Struthio camelus: one gene and its partner. The protein of the gene in region 1 purifies or fractionates together with the protein of each later gene. This does not show direct contact. Links are inferred from orthologs where the notes say so. Each region holds a gene or a part of one and is shown on either strand. Other genes may lie near its edges. The genes, in order: DTX3 and RNF114.

Region 1 (7,306 bases):
TCGTTCCACGTGATGACGTTGGCGCGGCCGGTGGTCATGGAGGTGCCCACGGTGAAGGTGAGGCGCTGGTCGAAGGCTTTGCGGAACAGCCCCAGCACCTTGTTGCCCTCGGGGCAGTCGGGCAGGTAGGCCACCCGCGTGGTGCCCGGGTACCGCACGCCCGGGTTGGGGTGCTCCACCTGCGAGGCGTCGGGCCGACACGGGGCGTCAGGCGCGGGGGTGCCCCCAGGGGGGCACCCAGAGGGATTGGGGTTACACCCAAGGGTGCTTGGCCAGGCTGGGCTTAGCTCCGTGGCACCAGAGCAGGGTCGGGGACACCCCCCAAAGTCGCAGCGTGACCAAAGGTGAACATCTGGCGTCAGGGGCACCCAGATGGGTTGGCGTAGCTGGGTGCCAGGGCACGCAGCCGCTTTTGGGGACGCACAACCAGACTAGGGTGCCCAAGCGGCAGCGGTGCAGAACCAGGTGGAGGTGCCCAGCAAGCTTTGGGGATGCCCAGTAGCACCACGGCCACAGAACAGGACAGGTGACACCCTACCAACTTGGGATGCCCCCATTGCTGGGGGCACAGGGGACACCTCGCCAGCCCGGGGTGCCCGGTGCCCAGCCGACGCGGGGTGAGGGGGCACGCGCTGTCTTACCCCTTGGACGCCGGGTGGGAAGACGTACTGGATGATGATGGTGCCGAACTTCTCGTAGCCGGGGAGCAGGAGGCTGGAGTCCTTGGTGACCAGCATGCGCCCGTTCTGGGGCTGGTTGCCCACCAGCTGCCCGTAGAAGCGCCCGCACATGGGGCAAGCGGTCTTCACCTGGAGCGCCCGCGTGATGCAATCCTCGCAGAACGAGTGTCGGCACTTCTCCAGCGTCTTCATGTTCTGGATCTCGCCCAGGCAGATGGGACACTGCCGGTCGGGTTCCTCGTCCCGCGAGCACCCCGGCGCCCCGCCGGCGCGCCCCCCGCCGCCCGCCGGTCCCCGGGCCCCAAGCCCGGGCCCGCTCTTGTCCAGCAGGGCCACGCAGCCCACCACCTCCCCGTGGCGCTGGGCCTTCTTCAGCTCCTTCTCCGTCTCCTTGAGCAGGGCCTTGAGGGCCTTGCGGGCCAGGTAGAGGCCGTTGGCGGTGCCCGGGACGGGCGTGCAGAGCTGAAGCACGTAGATGTCGGAGGTCTCGCCGTCCACCAGGATGCTCACCTTGGTCTCCTCCTTGAGCCGGGCCAGCTTGGCCGGGCTCTCCTTGGTCAAGAAGTCCCACACCCGCTTGGACACCGTCAACTTGTTCTTAGTGGCCCCCCCGCACGCCGCCATCCTGGACAGGACAAACGACACTGGGGGGGGCCCAGGCCCATGGTGTCAGAGCCTGTCGGGCGTGGGGTTCACCGCGAGGTGCCACAGCCCCCTCCCGCACGATGTCCCCAGCCTGCTCCTTCCTTATGGTGTCCCTCCATAGGCCTCCTCCCAGACCGTGATGCTTCCTCAACAGGCACCGGGTGCCCCCAGCCCTGTGGTACCCCCCGCTGGACCCTCCCCAGGGGGGATGGGATGGGATGGGATGGGACATGTCCCAGGTGCCACCTAGGTGGCACCGAGGCCTCTCAAGGACCCGCAAGCTGAGGGGATGTCGCAGGAAGGGGCAGGGGGTTGGGGTCTGGGGGCACCCTCGTGCCCAGCCCGCAGGAGCACCCAGGAGTCCAGGTTCTTGCCCTGCCCAAGGTGGGGGGGGGGGTCCCAGGGCCCAAAGGGGGGGGCAGCAGCACCCACCTGGTGAGCCCATGGGGGACAGCACGAGCCCGAAACACCAGCAGAGCCGTGATCAGCGGAGCCACGAGCCACGGACTGGGAGGGACACAGGGTCACACTGTGCCCCCCTCCCCTGGATCTTGTCCCCAAGTCCCACCCCCCAGCATGTGGGCCCCCCGGAAGGGCTCGCTGCCCCCTCCCCCGAGGGGGGTATGGGGGACACTGCTCTGCCCCCCCAACTCCCAGCCCCACTGAACCCCCTAAAGAGAAAATATCCCCCCCCCAGGTGCTAATCCCCATCAGGAGACCCTACAACAACAACCACGGCAGCGTAATCCATCCTACGCCCCCCACCCCCGCGGTGTCCCCAGGAGACCCTACAACAACAAACAGCCCGAAACGCCGGGCCCAGCACAGCGCCACCCCCGGGAACAGAGGGGCTGGGGGGGCCAGGTACGGCCTCCTCGGTGCCCCCCGCTCTCCAGACCCCACTGCTCGATGGGGTGGGGGGGGCACCAAACCCCTGGAGGACCCCAGGATGGGGGGGGGGGAAAGGGGTTGTTCACCTGCCCCTATTCCCCCCCGCCCAGGGGCCCCACTGCTGGGGGGGGCCGTAGAGAGGCTGTAGCCCCCCCCCCCCAGTTATGGGGGTCACCCCCCAGCACTGCCAGGGGAGGTGGCATGCAGGGGACAGGGATCACCGGGGGGGGGGGACACAGCCAGGGGACAGGACAGGAGCCGGAGGGGGGGCAGGATGGGGAGAGATATGGGGGGGGGGACGGGATGGCGACAAGGGGGGTGAGATGGGGCCGAGCTGGGACAGGACAGGTCGGGGGGGGTGGGCAAGGGGGGGGTCAGGCTGGGCCAGGGGAAGGGAGGGGGAAGAGATGAGGAGGGACAGGATGGGGGGGCAGGACGGGGCCCCGGGGGAGGGGGGAAAGGAAGGGTATGAGGGGGAAGTAAATGGGGGGGGCAAGGTGAGGCCTTGGGGGGGGCAGGATGGGGGTGAGGGGGGCAAGATGGGGCGGGGGGGGAGGAATAAGATAGGGCCCGGAAATTAGGGGTGGGAGGGGGAGAAGCCAGGCCTAACCAAGCCCCGGGGAGGGGGTGTCATGCTGGGGGGGGGGGGGCCCGGCCGGACCCGGGGACAGCGACGACAACGACGCCGGTGGGGGGGGGGGGAGAGGCTGGGCCCGGCCCTACCCGTTACCGGGAAGGAAATGAAGCTGGGCCGGGCCCTGCCCGTTCCCGAGGGGAGGGAGGGAGGGGGGGGGCAGGACGGGGCCCCCCCCGCGGCGGACCCACCATAGCCGGGAGGCCGGAGCATGGCGGGGGCGGCGCGGCCCGGAGCGGTGCGGCGGCGGCGGCGGCTGGCGGCGGCCGGGAGGGGGGGGGTGGGGGGGGGGAAAGGGTTGGGGGGGGGGAGGCTCTTCGCGGAGCCGCCGCACATCACGTGGGCGCGCGGGGCGGGGCGCCGCCGCCATGGCAACGAGGGCGGGGCCCATGGCGACGGCGCTGGGCGGTGTGCGGGGGGGGGAGAAGGGGCGGGGCGCGGCCTGGTACCGGCGGACGCAGCGGGGCGGGACAGGTCCCGCTCGGCGCCCGTCGCCATGGCAACGGAGCATCATGGCAACGGGGGGGGGGGCACGGGTATCGGGGTCCCGGTAACCGGGCACGGAGGGGCGGGGGAGGGGAGCGAACTGGGAGTCCCGGTAATGGGGTGCAGCACGTTGGTAAGGTGGGGGGGGCTCAGTACCGAGATAGAGCCTGGCTGTTGGGGGGGGGGGTCCCAATAACAGGACACAGCCTGGGGAAGGGGGGGGGGTCCTGGTAACAGGACACAGCTGAGGGAAAGGGGGGGGGTTCCAGTAATGGGGGCAGAGCCAGAGAAAGGGGGGCATCCTCATAATGAGGAGGGGGTCCCAGTAACGGGACACAGCCTAGGGAAGGGGGGGGGTCCCGGTAACGGGGGCAGAGCCTGGAGAAGGAGGGGGGGGGGTCCCGGTAACAGGGGCAGAGCCTGGGCTGGTTCAATAATTTATTTCTTAGGATACAGTGCTGGAGAGCAGCCCCCCCCCCATTACCCCCCCAGCACGGCAGGGTCCCCCGTGCAGTGTGTGTGGTGTGGGGGGGGGGCAGGAACAGGTCCCAGGACCCCGCTGATAACGGGGGGGGGGGCAACCCCACACTGTGACCCCACTTGTAACAGGGAGAGGGCCATGCCTCCCCCAGCCCCACTCCTACTGGGGGCGGGGGGGCCCACAGGCTCGCCATCCTCCCCCCCCAGACCAGACCCATAATGGGGGAAGGGGGGGGCTACTCCCGGGACACCCCCAGGACTGTCAGTGAAACACAGGGACACCCCCCCCAAAGGAACAGCCCTTTTTGGGGGGGTGGAGGAACCTCCTACCCCCCCACAGGAGGAGACACCCCACTAGCCCCAGGGCAAGTAGTGTTCAATTGCCCCCCCCCCGAGCATGGGGGGAGGTAGAAGCAATGCAGCCCCATGTGTGGGGGGCAGCCCCCAGCTTATTGCATAGGGCAGGGCTGGACCCCCCCACCCCACCCCACGGTAAAATAAGGCACTTGAATAGCAGCCCCCCACCTCCACCGGGCACCAACGGTGGGGGGGAGGAGCTGCCCCGCTCGCAGGCGGGGTGGGGGGCACCGTGCCTGGGGCGAAGGTCGGGGGGGGGGCCAGCTCAGCCCCGGGCCCCCCCCCATCTACGCGAAGATGTTGGTGATGAAGTCGAGGAAGCGCTTGGCGTACTGTTCGGGATGCACCGTGGAGATCTCAGCCCCCGCCTGCGGGAGAGCACAGGATATTGGGGGGGGGGGGGGGTCAGACCCTGCCCCAAACCTCCCCAGACCCTCCAAGGGCCCCCCCCCCCCCAAAAAAAAAGGAGGCCATCCTCTTCCTCGGGCTCACCCCGTGCTTGACGGTCTTGGCAGCGTGGGCGGCCTTCTTGCGGGCGTCGTACTGCGTGAGGACGTCGATGAGCCCCATGAAGTACACCTCCTTGCGGGGGCCACCTGGGGTGGGAGGGGGAAGCAGGCGAGGAGAGGGGTGGGTGAGCCCCACACCCACCTCTTCGGCCTGCCCCCCCCCCCCCCCCAAGCACCCAATGCCCCGCTCACCCTCGGCGCTCCGGATAGCGTAGACGTCCACATAGGGGTCGAACTCGCCGGGGCCCAGCGGCCGGTGGGAGTTGAGGTAGCTGCCGATGCCCTCCGGGGAGGTGCCGTAGGAGCCCACGATGGCGGCCCCCGCCTCGTCGCCCCCGCCTTCCTCCTCTTCCACCTCCTCTTCCTCCTCCTGCTCTGCCCGCGCCACGTCGTGGATGCCCAGCAGCAGGCTGTAGTCCATGATCTTCAGCTGCACCAGGAACTGGCGACACGGGGGAGATCACAGGAAGGGACATGGAGAACCCCTGGCCGGCAGCCGGTTTTTGGGAGGGGGGTACCAACCCTCGTGACTGCCCTAGTGAGAGGTGGCCACCCCCTCCCCAAACACCCAGCCCCTGTCCGGGCACCACGGCTCTGGCCTGGAGCCCCCTCACCCACCTCCACATCTCTCTTGAGCTTCTCCATGAAGTCCTTCTTGTCCTCCTCGCCCACGTAGACCTTCTCGTTCTTGTTCAGGAAGTCCATGTCCTTCAGTGTGGGCAAGTCTTTGCCCTGTGGCGAGACGAACATGTGGGACGGGCCCCTGCGGTCCCACTATGGCTGTGGGGAGCCCCCTCCCCACTCCAAGAAACCAGTGGGGTCCTCCCCGCCCTGATGGGGGACCCTGGAGGCTCACGGATAACAGGGACTCCCTGGGGACGAGCGTGGTGGCACCTTGCCTCCACGGTTCCTCAGGAGGTTGCAGGGATCAGCTCTCCCTCCACAGCTGCAGCCTCATCGTTAAGTGGAGGCTGGGGACAGGCTGATAACGAGCCTGGGACTGCCCCGGTTCCCCCTCCCCAGGCTGGAGGCTCCCAGCACCATCCTGCCCACGTCACTGTGCCGTGGTACCTTCTCCTTGTCGCTGGCTTCACGGGACACAAGGGAGCCCTGGAGGAAAAGCAGAAGCTGTGTTAGGCTGGGGGGAAAAATCAGCGCTCCTGGCAGAGGGGACAAAGGAGGGGACAACAGAGTTGGTTAAATCCACCCAGGGATGGAGAGCATGGAGAAGCAGGAGGCATGGATGACCCAAGGACACGGGCTGATTTGGGGGCTCTGTCTCAGCTCCAAGCCTCTAGCAGCTTTAGGGGGGGCCCCCGTGGCAGGACAGCAAGGCTGGGGCGATGGGGTGGGCGCCCCGTTACCTTGAGGTCGTACTTCCTGTGCACGGAGAGCCGGTGGCTGAACATGTTCCTCATGACGAGCAGGTAGGTCTCCTCACTGTCCACGCTCACCCGGTACATGCCCAGGAACCGGGGCAGCAGCGTGGTCCCGTGACACTTCACGATGTACTGCGGGGAGACGTGGGTGCCATCAGGGCCCTCGGGTGACCCTGGCGTTCCTCGCTGCCCGGCCACCGCGCCCCCGTACCTGGTGGTAGTGGGACAGGAGGCTGTGGACGTCGGCCACGTCCTCGCTCGACAGCTCCTTCACCACCAACGTGCGGTCGTAGGACAGCAGGAACCGCCGGTCGCTGCCCTCAGAGTGGGGCGGGCTCCGCGTCAGCGAGACCTGGGCAGGACGGGCGTCAGGCAGGGCCGGGGCGACGCCGGCGCGGCCCCGAACGCCACCACCGCACCGTGGACCCACCTGGTAGTCCTGGTCGTCGATGCCGAAGCGCTCCCGGAGGTTGCGGAAGACCTGGGGACAGTACTCCTTGAACTTGAAATGACTGGGCAGGTTCTCCCTGCGGGTGGAGGTCACCAGCATGAGGACAAGGAGCTCCTCAGGGCAGCCGGGGGCTTCGTCCCCCCTTTCCGGAAGGTCTCCTGGCCCCGTTCGGGACCACCGCGGAGCTGCCACCCGGCCGTGCTCACCGGTTGAAGAGGTGGTTGTTGACTTTGATTTTGGAGCTGGCCTTAAAGTCGTCGGGCAGGAGCATGACGGGCAGCGGGACCTGGCTGAGCTCGCCGATCTGCGGGGCAGCGGGACGGGTGACGCCGGTCCCCCCCGCTGCGCAGGGCCACCCTCCGTGACCCCGCCGAGGAGCCCCCAGCAAGGACCCCAGTCCTCCCAGCGGGTGGGCACCGGCGCCCGCCGCATGGACGTGGCAAGCTGGGGCCGGGGGGCAGCTCGGGCAGGCGCTTGGATTAACGAGCGGGTTAATGAGTGGCGGCCGCAGGTGGCCGGGGGTTAGCGCCGTTACCGGGGGGCAGCAAGCGGCATGGTGGGGGGGGGGGGCACACGCCATGCGATGGGGCCCAGGGGCCACCCACCTCCTCCGGGGCTGTCCAGGGGGGCACTGCGTTGCCAGTCCGGGGGCTGCTACGGGGACAAATTGGGGGGGGGGATGGGGGGAGCCGTCAGTGCTGCTGGGGGGCACAGCCCCCCGGGGCAGCGTGAGGGGGCTTCCCACATCAGTGTCATCCCCCCAACTGGCAGGTGCTGGACCCCAGACCCCCAGG
Region 2 (7,913 bases), on another chromosome or scaffold:
TTTAATATCATCCATATTTATACAAAACTACTTCTCTTACAAATGTTACAAATGCCATTTATCAGTTTGCTTTCTTATATATATATTTTTTAAAAAGGCACAGTCACACACCCAACACGCTACAATGCGGCTCACTGCAACTTCCCTTCATTGTAAGTTACTACAATCAAGAGACAGAAAGACAAAACTATTACTTAACACCTCTCCCACCCCCCTTTAACTAAGTACCCTGATCTTGCACTAAAACATCCATGGATAACATCACAAATTAGAACAGCTTGCCTGTGCATAGTCTGTTGTTAGGTTGAAGGCTTAGTTTAACAATATGAGAGGATTAAAAGAATTAACACCCAAACTGAGTGAAGAGGTAAAGTCTGCTTTTACTCCAGTATTCTACAGTTTGCATGACACATCATAACACAGTCAACTTTTGTTTAAACAAGATAAAAGGACTGTTCTCAGAGCAAGAATCAATTTTTAAGTTTCATAATGATTAAATATTTACAGCCCAGTTTGTGGTATCAAAAAATAGCACGTCAAGAGAAGAGCTAGTTACCTGGTGTTGTTAAGGGGTTCTTTAGTTACAGCTTTTACACCTTCCATTATATAATTCTGGTACTTTGAACAAGAAGCTGCATGGCTACGCATCTTTGAGAGATACATCTGGAGAGACAACAATTAAACAGCAAACTCAGTTTAAACTACTTGCAGTCACTTTCACTTTCAGGCTTTTAGGCAGAAGAAGTAAACGATACGCAAAAGAAATAGGCTTTCTATAGAAAATGCTGAAACAGAAAAACAATTAGGCTGATGAGACAGAAAACTGTCAAGACTACGTACTAGTTAACCAGTAACTTTGTTGCCTGTAATATGTTACCAATACCATGCTGTTCAGGACAGCTCACTTTTCCTAAGATGTAATATAAAAGTTTCATATAAAGCCAGTTTATCTGGTTGCTCAGGAGAAGAGCCAATACGGGTAATAGCTTCGCTTTTTGTAATTGATCTACACCAAGATCTGTACTGCAGAACGTTGTCAGATACGCAGCACGTACAACGAAGGAACGGAGACGAACCTGACTTCACAATTTCTACTTGCAAAAGCCTGAAGGTTTTTTTCTTTGCAAAAATCCATTTTATGCTTGAAGTCTGGCTAACAATCGATTTCAAACATGCTTTAAATTAGATCCGAATCTTAATAACCCTATCCAAGCTAGAAAGAACAGTGTTTTTAGGAGGAGTAAGAGGTACAAAAATAGGCAATAACTCAGGAGGATTAGATACTGATTAGCAGTAGATGCGAGATAAAGATATAGCTAATGTATCAGCCTCCATCAAAAACCAAGTGCAAGTCTGACAATCGTGTTTCAAGCATTATCCCACTAATGAAAACTGAAATTTCCTGTAAGGAAATCTACAAGTCAAGGGACTGCAATTTTATATCAGCCAGAATAAAAAAGGTGATACTACTCAGAAATCAAAAGTGAAACTAACAGAACAGATACTCTCACCTTGTTTATGAGAAATATATAACAGCAGTAGTGCAGGAGATGAGGAACTTTGTTTTTTTAATAAAAAGAGAGCTGTAAAAGTTCAGTTAGCATAATGACATTCTTTAATGAGTTTTAAATTAAAGATTTTAGCTTTACAAGTGAACCAATTAATCTGAGGATTAGATACAGGACCATATGAACTACAAAGCTGCAGTTTTGGTGTAATATGCATCTAATTAACCTTTTCTCGCTGTCTTTCCATCTGTCAAGATATTTTCCCGTATATTGGGACAATGCTAAGAAGCCCAAACTTACAAAGAGGAAGTAAATGATAAGAGGGTGTCCTCTAAGTGTTTCATATGCAGGATTTTACCAAACAGTAAAATATATGGAATATACTGCTCATATAGGACAGCTTTGTCTCATAACTATTTCTGAGGAAGCAAACAAAGTTCTTCTGTTTAAAAGCCTAGGCTCTCAGTGTTTAAAACCACATTCACCATTTCCTTACAGCGTTACACCCACAGACATCCTCGTAGCAATATTTTATTATTATTTTTAAACCAACACAGCATCTCACACTCAGAATTCACTTCCTAGGGAGGTAACAATAAAGACTGTGGAAAAACGTCAACATTTAGGAACGACTTACAAAAAAAAAGTGCCTGTAGTACTTAAAACAAGCATTTGACCTGTTGTTGCAGAAAGCTGAAGAGCAAATACTTTACTTCCCTCTAAGCTGTAGGACTGAACAGGAACACTTCAGGCACTTGGTTTTCAAACGCTTTCCTACCTTTTTATTGCAGCCATTGCAAGTGGTTTCCGTCATTTCAATTTGCTTCTCCAGGTCCAGAGCTCTGCTACCAGGAGACAGGGTACTGCGGCAGACGCCGCAAACAGGCTTTTTCGGCTTGAGACATTCCTGCAGGCACGGAGTGCAAAAGCTAGCATGGGAGAAAAACAGCAAGCGGTGAGAAGGACGCTCCTTACAACTCGATTAAAACACTCAGAGACCTGCCATGCCCCCTGTTATTAGCGATAAAGGAGTCACAAGAAGCGACAGCGGCCGGCTGACATTTGTGCCGTGTGACGGGAGGTGCAGTCTGGGCCATCACAGTCGGAATTATCAGATTTTCGACAAATCTCTATCTCCACCAGCTTTCACAGGTGGGGGGAAGCTACCGAACGCACCGCGCCGCTGTTTTTGTGTCAAGCGAGGCTCACGGCGCCCCTACAACGGGCTAAAGCGCGCAGCTGCCTGCAGACCCCCGTCCCCTCGGGCAAGGCCGCTTCACCGACCTCCCCCTACGGGAGCCGGGCCCGCCCGAGCCCGGCCCGGGGCCGCCCCCGCCGCGGCCTCTGCGCCCGCCCGCCGCCTCGCGGCCCGCTCACGGCACCCGGTCGAGGAAGGGGCCCGCGGGCCCGGAGCCGCCCCCGAGGCCCCCACGCCGCGCCGCGCCGCGCCGCCGGCAGCCGCTCACACATGTCCGCAGGGCACGCGCACCGGGCTCTCGTACACCTCCAGGCACACAGGGCAGGTGAAGCGCGACAGCGGGTCGTGCCGCCGCGCCGCTGCCGCCACTGCCCGCTCCGGAGAGCGCGAAGCACCACCTCCACCGGCCACCGCCATCTTGCGGCGGCCCCACCGCCCCCTCGGACCTCCGCCTCCGCGCGGGCCCCGCCCCGAACCCCCAGCCAATCGCGAAGCCGCCCGCGCGCAGCCGCAGCACAGATCCCGGCGCCGGGGCGAGCACGGCGAGGAGACTCCCGCCCCGCGGGGGCGGGCGAGGCCCGGCGCAGGGGGCGTGGCCCGAGGTTGGGGGCGTGCCCAGGGGCCGGAGGGGCGTGCCCAGGGGCCGGGGGCGTGGCCGGGGCGCCCCGGGGCAGGGCCGCCAGTGGCGCGGGGCAGCCGGTGGCGGCGCGGGCAGCAGGGCGAGCGCCGCCGGGGGCCGCCCGCCTCGCCCGGGCCTGCGGAGCGGCCGCGGCCCGGGGTGAGGCAGGAGGCGGCGGTTCTGCCTGGCGGAAGAGAAAAGGAGCGTTTTTACCAACAGCTAGAGCAAGGCCGCGTGAAAAATTGTAGATGGCGCGGGCTGTTCCCCCCCCCCCCCGCCCCCGGCCTCAAGGCCGCCGCCGTCCGCGTTTAATTGGTGCCGCTGTTGGTTGCCGGCGGTTTTCGGCATCTTGCGGTCGGGGAGCGTCGTGCCGTTTCCCCCTTGCTCTCGCGGTCCGGCTGCGCCGGCTGGGGCGCGCCGAGCTGGTAACGGGAGGACAACGCAGCTCCTGTCGGCGGTGGGCAAGCCAGGGCACCGCAGAAGCTGTTTATAAAACGATAAAGGCGTCACGATCCCTTCTGTTAGGGTCGTGGCATAAACGCCTCGTGCCGAGGTTGAACGGACGCGTAATTCCCTGCAGCGGCTGCTTTTCTCCTTCCCTCGCGGCTGTGACCACCTGGCGGGGGAGCCGAGGGGCGGATCCGCCGCCGCCTTCAGGCCTTTATTCCCCGTGTCCCCCCGACGCTGGGTGCGCGGGCGGCCGCGGCACCAGCCGCTCTCGTTCCACGCGCGAGCGCGCCAAACGCCCCCCGGCTCCTAAAACACAAGGGGCGAAGGGCGCCGAGCGCGGCCCTCCCGCGCCGGCCTGGCCCCGAGCGGCTGGTCCCCGAAACGCCCTGCTCTGACCCCCCTGCCGCCCCCGCCTAGGCTGCTCCCCAGCCCGGGGGGCCCTGGGGGGGTCCCACAGCCCGGGGGGGCACAACCCGGCTGTCCCCTCGGTCCGGGGGGTCCTGGGGGGGGTCCCACAGCCCGGGGGGGCACAGCCCGGCCGTCCCCTGGGTCCGGGGGGTCCTGGGGGGGGTCCCACAGCCCGGGGGGGCACAGCCCGGCCGTCCCCTGGGTCCGGGGGGTCCTGGGGGGGTCCCACAGCCCGGGGGGGCGCAGCCCGGCCGTCCCCTGGGTCCGGGGGGTCCTGGGGGGGGTCCCACAGCCTGGGGGGGGCACAGCCCGGCCGTCCCCTGGGTCCGGGGGGTCCTGGGGGGGGTCCCACAGCCTGGGGGGGGCACAGCCCGGCCGTCCCCTGGGTCCGGGGGGGCTCTGGGGGGGTCCCACAGCCTGGGGGGGCACAGCCCGGCCATCCCCTGGGTCCGGGGGGTCCTGGGGGGGTCCCACAGCCCGGGGGGCCACAGCCCGGCCGTCCCCTGGGTCCGGGGGGGCTCTAGGGGGGGGTCCCACAGCCTGGGGAGGCACAGCCCGGCCGTCCCCTGGGTCCGGGGGGTCCTGGGGGGGGGTCCCACAGCCTGGGGGGGGCACAGCCCGGCCGTCCCCTGGGTCCGGGGGGGCTCTAGGGGGGTCCCACAGCCTGGGGAGGCACAGCCCGGCCGTCCCCTGGGTCCGGGGGGGCTCTAGGGGGGGGTCCCACAGCCTGGGGAGGCACAGCCCGGCCGTCCCCTGGGTCCGGGGGGTCCTGGGGGGGGTCCCACAGCCCGGGGGGGCACAGCCCGGCCGTCCCCTGGGTCCGGGGGGCGGACACGGGGGTCCCTCCGCCCGGAGCCCCTCGGCCGGGGGAGTCCGACACCCCGAGCCCCCTCCCCCCCGCCGCCCGCACCGCCCGCTGACGTCACACCGCGGACCCCCCCCCCCACCGCCGCAGGGGGAGGCGCCGCTTCCCCCTCTCCCCCCACCCCCCGCCCGCCGCCATCCACTTCCGGGGTGCCGCCGTCGCCCTCCGCGCTCGCCACCGGGAGCGCCCGCGTGGTCGGCGACGGGAGGACAAGCGGCGAGGAGGGGGTGAGCGGGGCGGGGGGCGCAGCGCGGCCTTGGGGGGGGGGGGCGGAGTCTACATCCGGGTCACCGGGCGCTTCCTGCCGGCGGGCCGGGGCGGCGGCGGTGAGTGCGGGCCGGGGCGGCGGCGGCCCCCGAGGGGCGGCGGCGGCTCGGTGCCGCAGCGGGGCCGCTCCGCGGTCGCTGCCGGCTCCGGGGCCTCGGCGTTTGGCTGCCCGAGCTTCCCCCGCGCTGCGCGCCGGCTGAGAGGGCCGAGGCTCGGCGCGGGGGCGGCCGCGGGCCGGCCGCTCTCCGGCCTCCTCCGCTGGGCGCGCCTTGGGCCCGGCTTCCCGTCGGTAAGGCGGCGCGGCGCTGCCCGTCCCGGCGGCGGGCCCGTCTCTCCCTCGGCGCTGTGTGCCCCTGCGCCCCGGGGGCCGCCGCGAGGCCGGTCCGCTGCTGGCGGCGCCGCAGCTCTGCGGAGGTTCGTGGCTTCCTGGCGCTCGTCGTGTTCCGTTTCGCAGCCGCCTGAGCTCCGGCCTGCGCGCCAACGGCGGGTCGCGACCGGAGCTGCCAGCGGCTTTGAATGTCACGGGGCGTGAGGCCTTGATGAAGGGCTTTCTCTTCCTTCGGGGACTTTCCCGAGCGTGGCGTCTTGTACGTCTGAGCTGTTTCGTTAAGCAGCTGTCGACGTTACAGGTGGAGGAGCTGCTCCTTAATCCAACTCCTTACCGACGCAAGATCATCCCTTGTCCTAAGGCTGTGCTATTGGCGTGCCAAGCGAAGAGCTCTGTCTGCGCTTCTCTCGTACAGCCTAGCTACAGCTGTTCTCGCTAAGTTACAGAAATTGTGTTGTTTTTGTCCACAGACTTCGTCTGACACAAATTAAGAGGGAAAAATCCTGGAGGGAGGGAGAGAAGTGAGCGCTTTGTGGAAAGGACTGAATTACATTCTTACTTCTGCCCCTTGTGTTAAGATGTTAATTTAGAACCCCGTGTGTCCTGTGATTCACAGCTTCTCTCCCGACATCAGTGCGTTTCTGCTTGTGCAAAGACCAAGAGCAGTATGCCTCTGAGCAGAAATTGAGCTGCTGGTTAACTTTTCCCACACGATGCTACTGTTAGGCACATCCTCTCATCAAGCAAGATTAGTTGCTAGGCTGTTGGGCCTTCTTGTTTCTACCCTTTTTTCCTTTTTTTTTTTTGTCATGTATTTGTGTTATGGCTCCTTTCATTCAGTTCATCTTGCACTTAGAGTGATTTTTTTCAATGTCCTCATAGGCTTCTGCTAAAATAATCAGCAGTCTTATGGCTGCTGAAATTAATATTGGGTGGGAAGTCTTTCTAAAATGCTGTTTCAGACTGACTATAACTGATACAATGGATTGTGTGGGGTTTTTTCTTCTTTTTTTGTTTAGAGCTAGGAAGCGTATAAGGACTAGGATTGTGCTGTCTTTTAAATAAAAATAGCAGTACAAAAAAAATAAAGCCTGTGATCTGCTTTCTGATCACAATTTCTTCAGGAAATTTAGATGGAGTCTGTTGACCTGTTAGTTACCTTGGCTTTGGTAAAGTAATGTTAGGAAGCTTATTTTCTTACCAGCTTTTTCTGTGTGGGAGATAAGAACTCAATGAGATGAAAAAGCATAGTCAGTAATACGTAAAAGCAACCAGCCCTGCAAACAAAATGACATAAACACAGAAATGATTTTGCTCTGTTCTAATAAAGCAGTTAAAATTGGTAGCTGTAGCTTTCCATCGAAAAGGTTACAATGCTACTACTAGCATTTGGCTAAAGCTTTGGCTGTACTTTGCAGTGTTCGGGGGCACATGTGCTCTCTAGGGGGTGGCTGCAGCGTACTGCCGGCACCACGATGGCCGGGGTGTGCCGTTGGATAGAATGAGTGGTGTTCAAAAGCCTAGAAAATGTTAGAAGTAGAAAGGCTAAGTGTATTAATCTGCTCAATTCTATGGGCCGAGCCTATGCCACTAGCAAAAAGAGAAGTATATGCTTTCCTAATCTGAGCAAAAAGAAACTTCTTTTTGGGATTTTGTACCTTTATATCTCTGTGCAGGGCAAACGAAATAAAACAGTGACCAATTCTCGTCATGTTTGTACGATTTGTTTGAATCGAAAAGGCGCGATAAAAGAAAAAGAGAAGACGCCCTAAAAACCCCTGCTTTTGTCTTTCGGTCTTATGTTGTGAGTTACCTTCGCTGTTGTTCTCTTAGCCAAGGAATCCTCAATCTGGACTTGAATTTCCACCAATTTTCTGGTATCACACTCTTGGTGCCTTGCCCCATTTAGCTTTCTGGTGCTCTGTTTTAGACAGTTAACTGGGGAAAGGAGTAGAGAATAGCAGTGAAAAGGAGGACACCAACATTTCTGTAGGCTCCTGTGCTTTTTCAGAACCCTAAAGAGTCTGTTCTGGGAGCCCCTGCACTGTGAATGATTTTATAGAACCCTGTGAGGCAAATAGATGCTATCGACATCTGTGATGACTTGTCTTTTTCAATTTTTATTCCAGAAGAGTTGCCATTACTGAAGATTCTTAATGCCAGATAATCAACCTACTGTGGAATAACCATGAAAGAGATGAGGTAGCTGCCGAAGTGTGAGACAAAATCTGATTTCAATGGATACAAAATATAAAGACGATTTATTTAGG

Evidence for each region.
Region 2: the proteins of DTX3 (region 1) and RNF114 purify together in Homo sapiens (affinity purification with mass spectrometry; 3 studies listed by BioGRID and IntAct, counting the BioPlex papers as one, with this or other methods). This does not show direct contact. The link is inferred for Struthio camelus from reciprocal best matches to the Homo sapiens genes DTX3 and RNF114.

What each region holds. Positions count from the first base shown.
Region 1 is NC_090969.1:2,297,332-2,304,637, forward strand, and holds the start of DTX3 (probable E3 ubiquitin-protein ligase DTX3), read right to left. Parts: upstream 3,136-7,306; 5' UTR 3,042-3,135; intron 1,833-3,041; 5' UTR 1,771-1,832; coding exon 1,758-1,770; intron 1,325-1,757; coding exon 642-1,324; intron 180-641; coding exon 1-179. Other genes in the region: PIP4K2C (phosphatidylinositol 5-phosphate 4-kinase type-2 gamma), read right to left, coding at 4,461-4,541, 4,666-4,769, 4,875-5,124, 5,301-5,414, 5,754-5,792, 6,047-6,193, 6,273-6,413, 6,492-6,588 and 1 more. UniProt on the Homo sapiens protein: Regulator of Notch signaling, a signaling pathway involved in cell-cell communications that regulates a broad spectrum of cell-fate determinations.
Region 2 is NC_090959.1:9,898,413-9,906,325, reverse strand, and holds the start of RNF114 (E3 ubiquitin-protein ligase RNF114), read right to left. Parts: upstream 3,212-7,913; 5' UTR 3,124-3,211; coding exon 2,975-3,123; intron 2,438-2,974; coding exon 2,287-2,437; intron 664-2,286; coding exon 557-663; intron 1-556. Other genes in the region: SPATA2 (spermatogenesis-associated protein 2), read left to right, coding at 7,881-7,913. UniProt on the Homo sapiens protein: E3 ubiquitin-protein ligase that promotes the ubiquitination of various substrates. In turn, participates in the regulation of many biological processes including cell cycle, apoptosis, osteoclastogenesis as well as innate or adaptive immunity.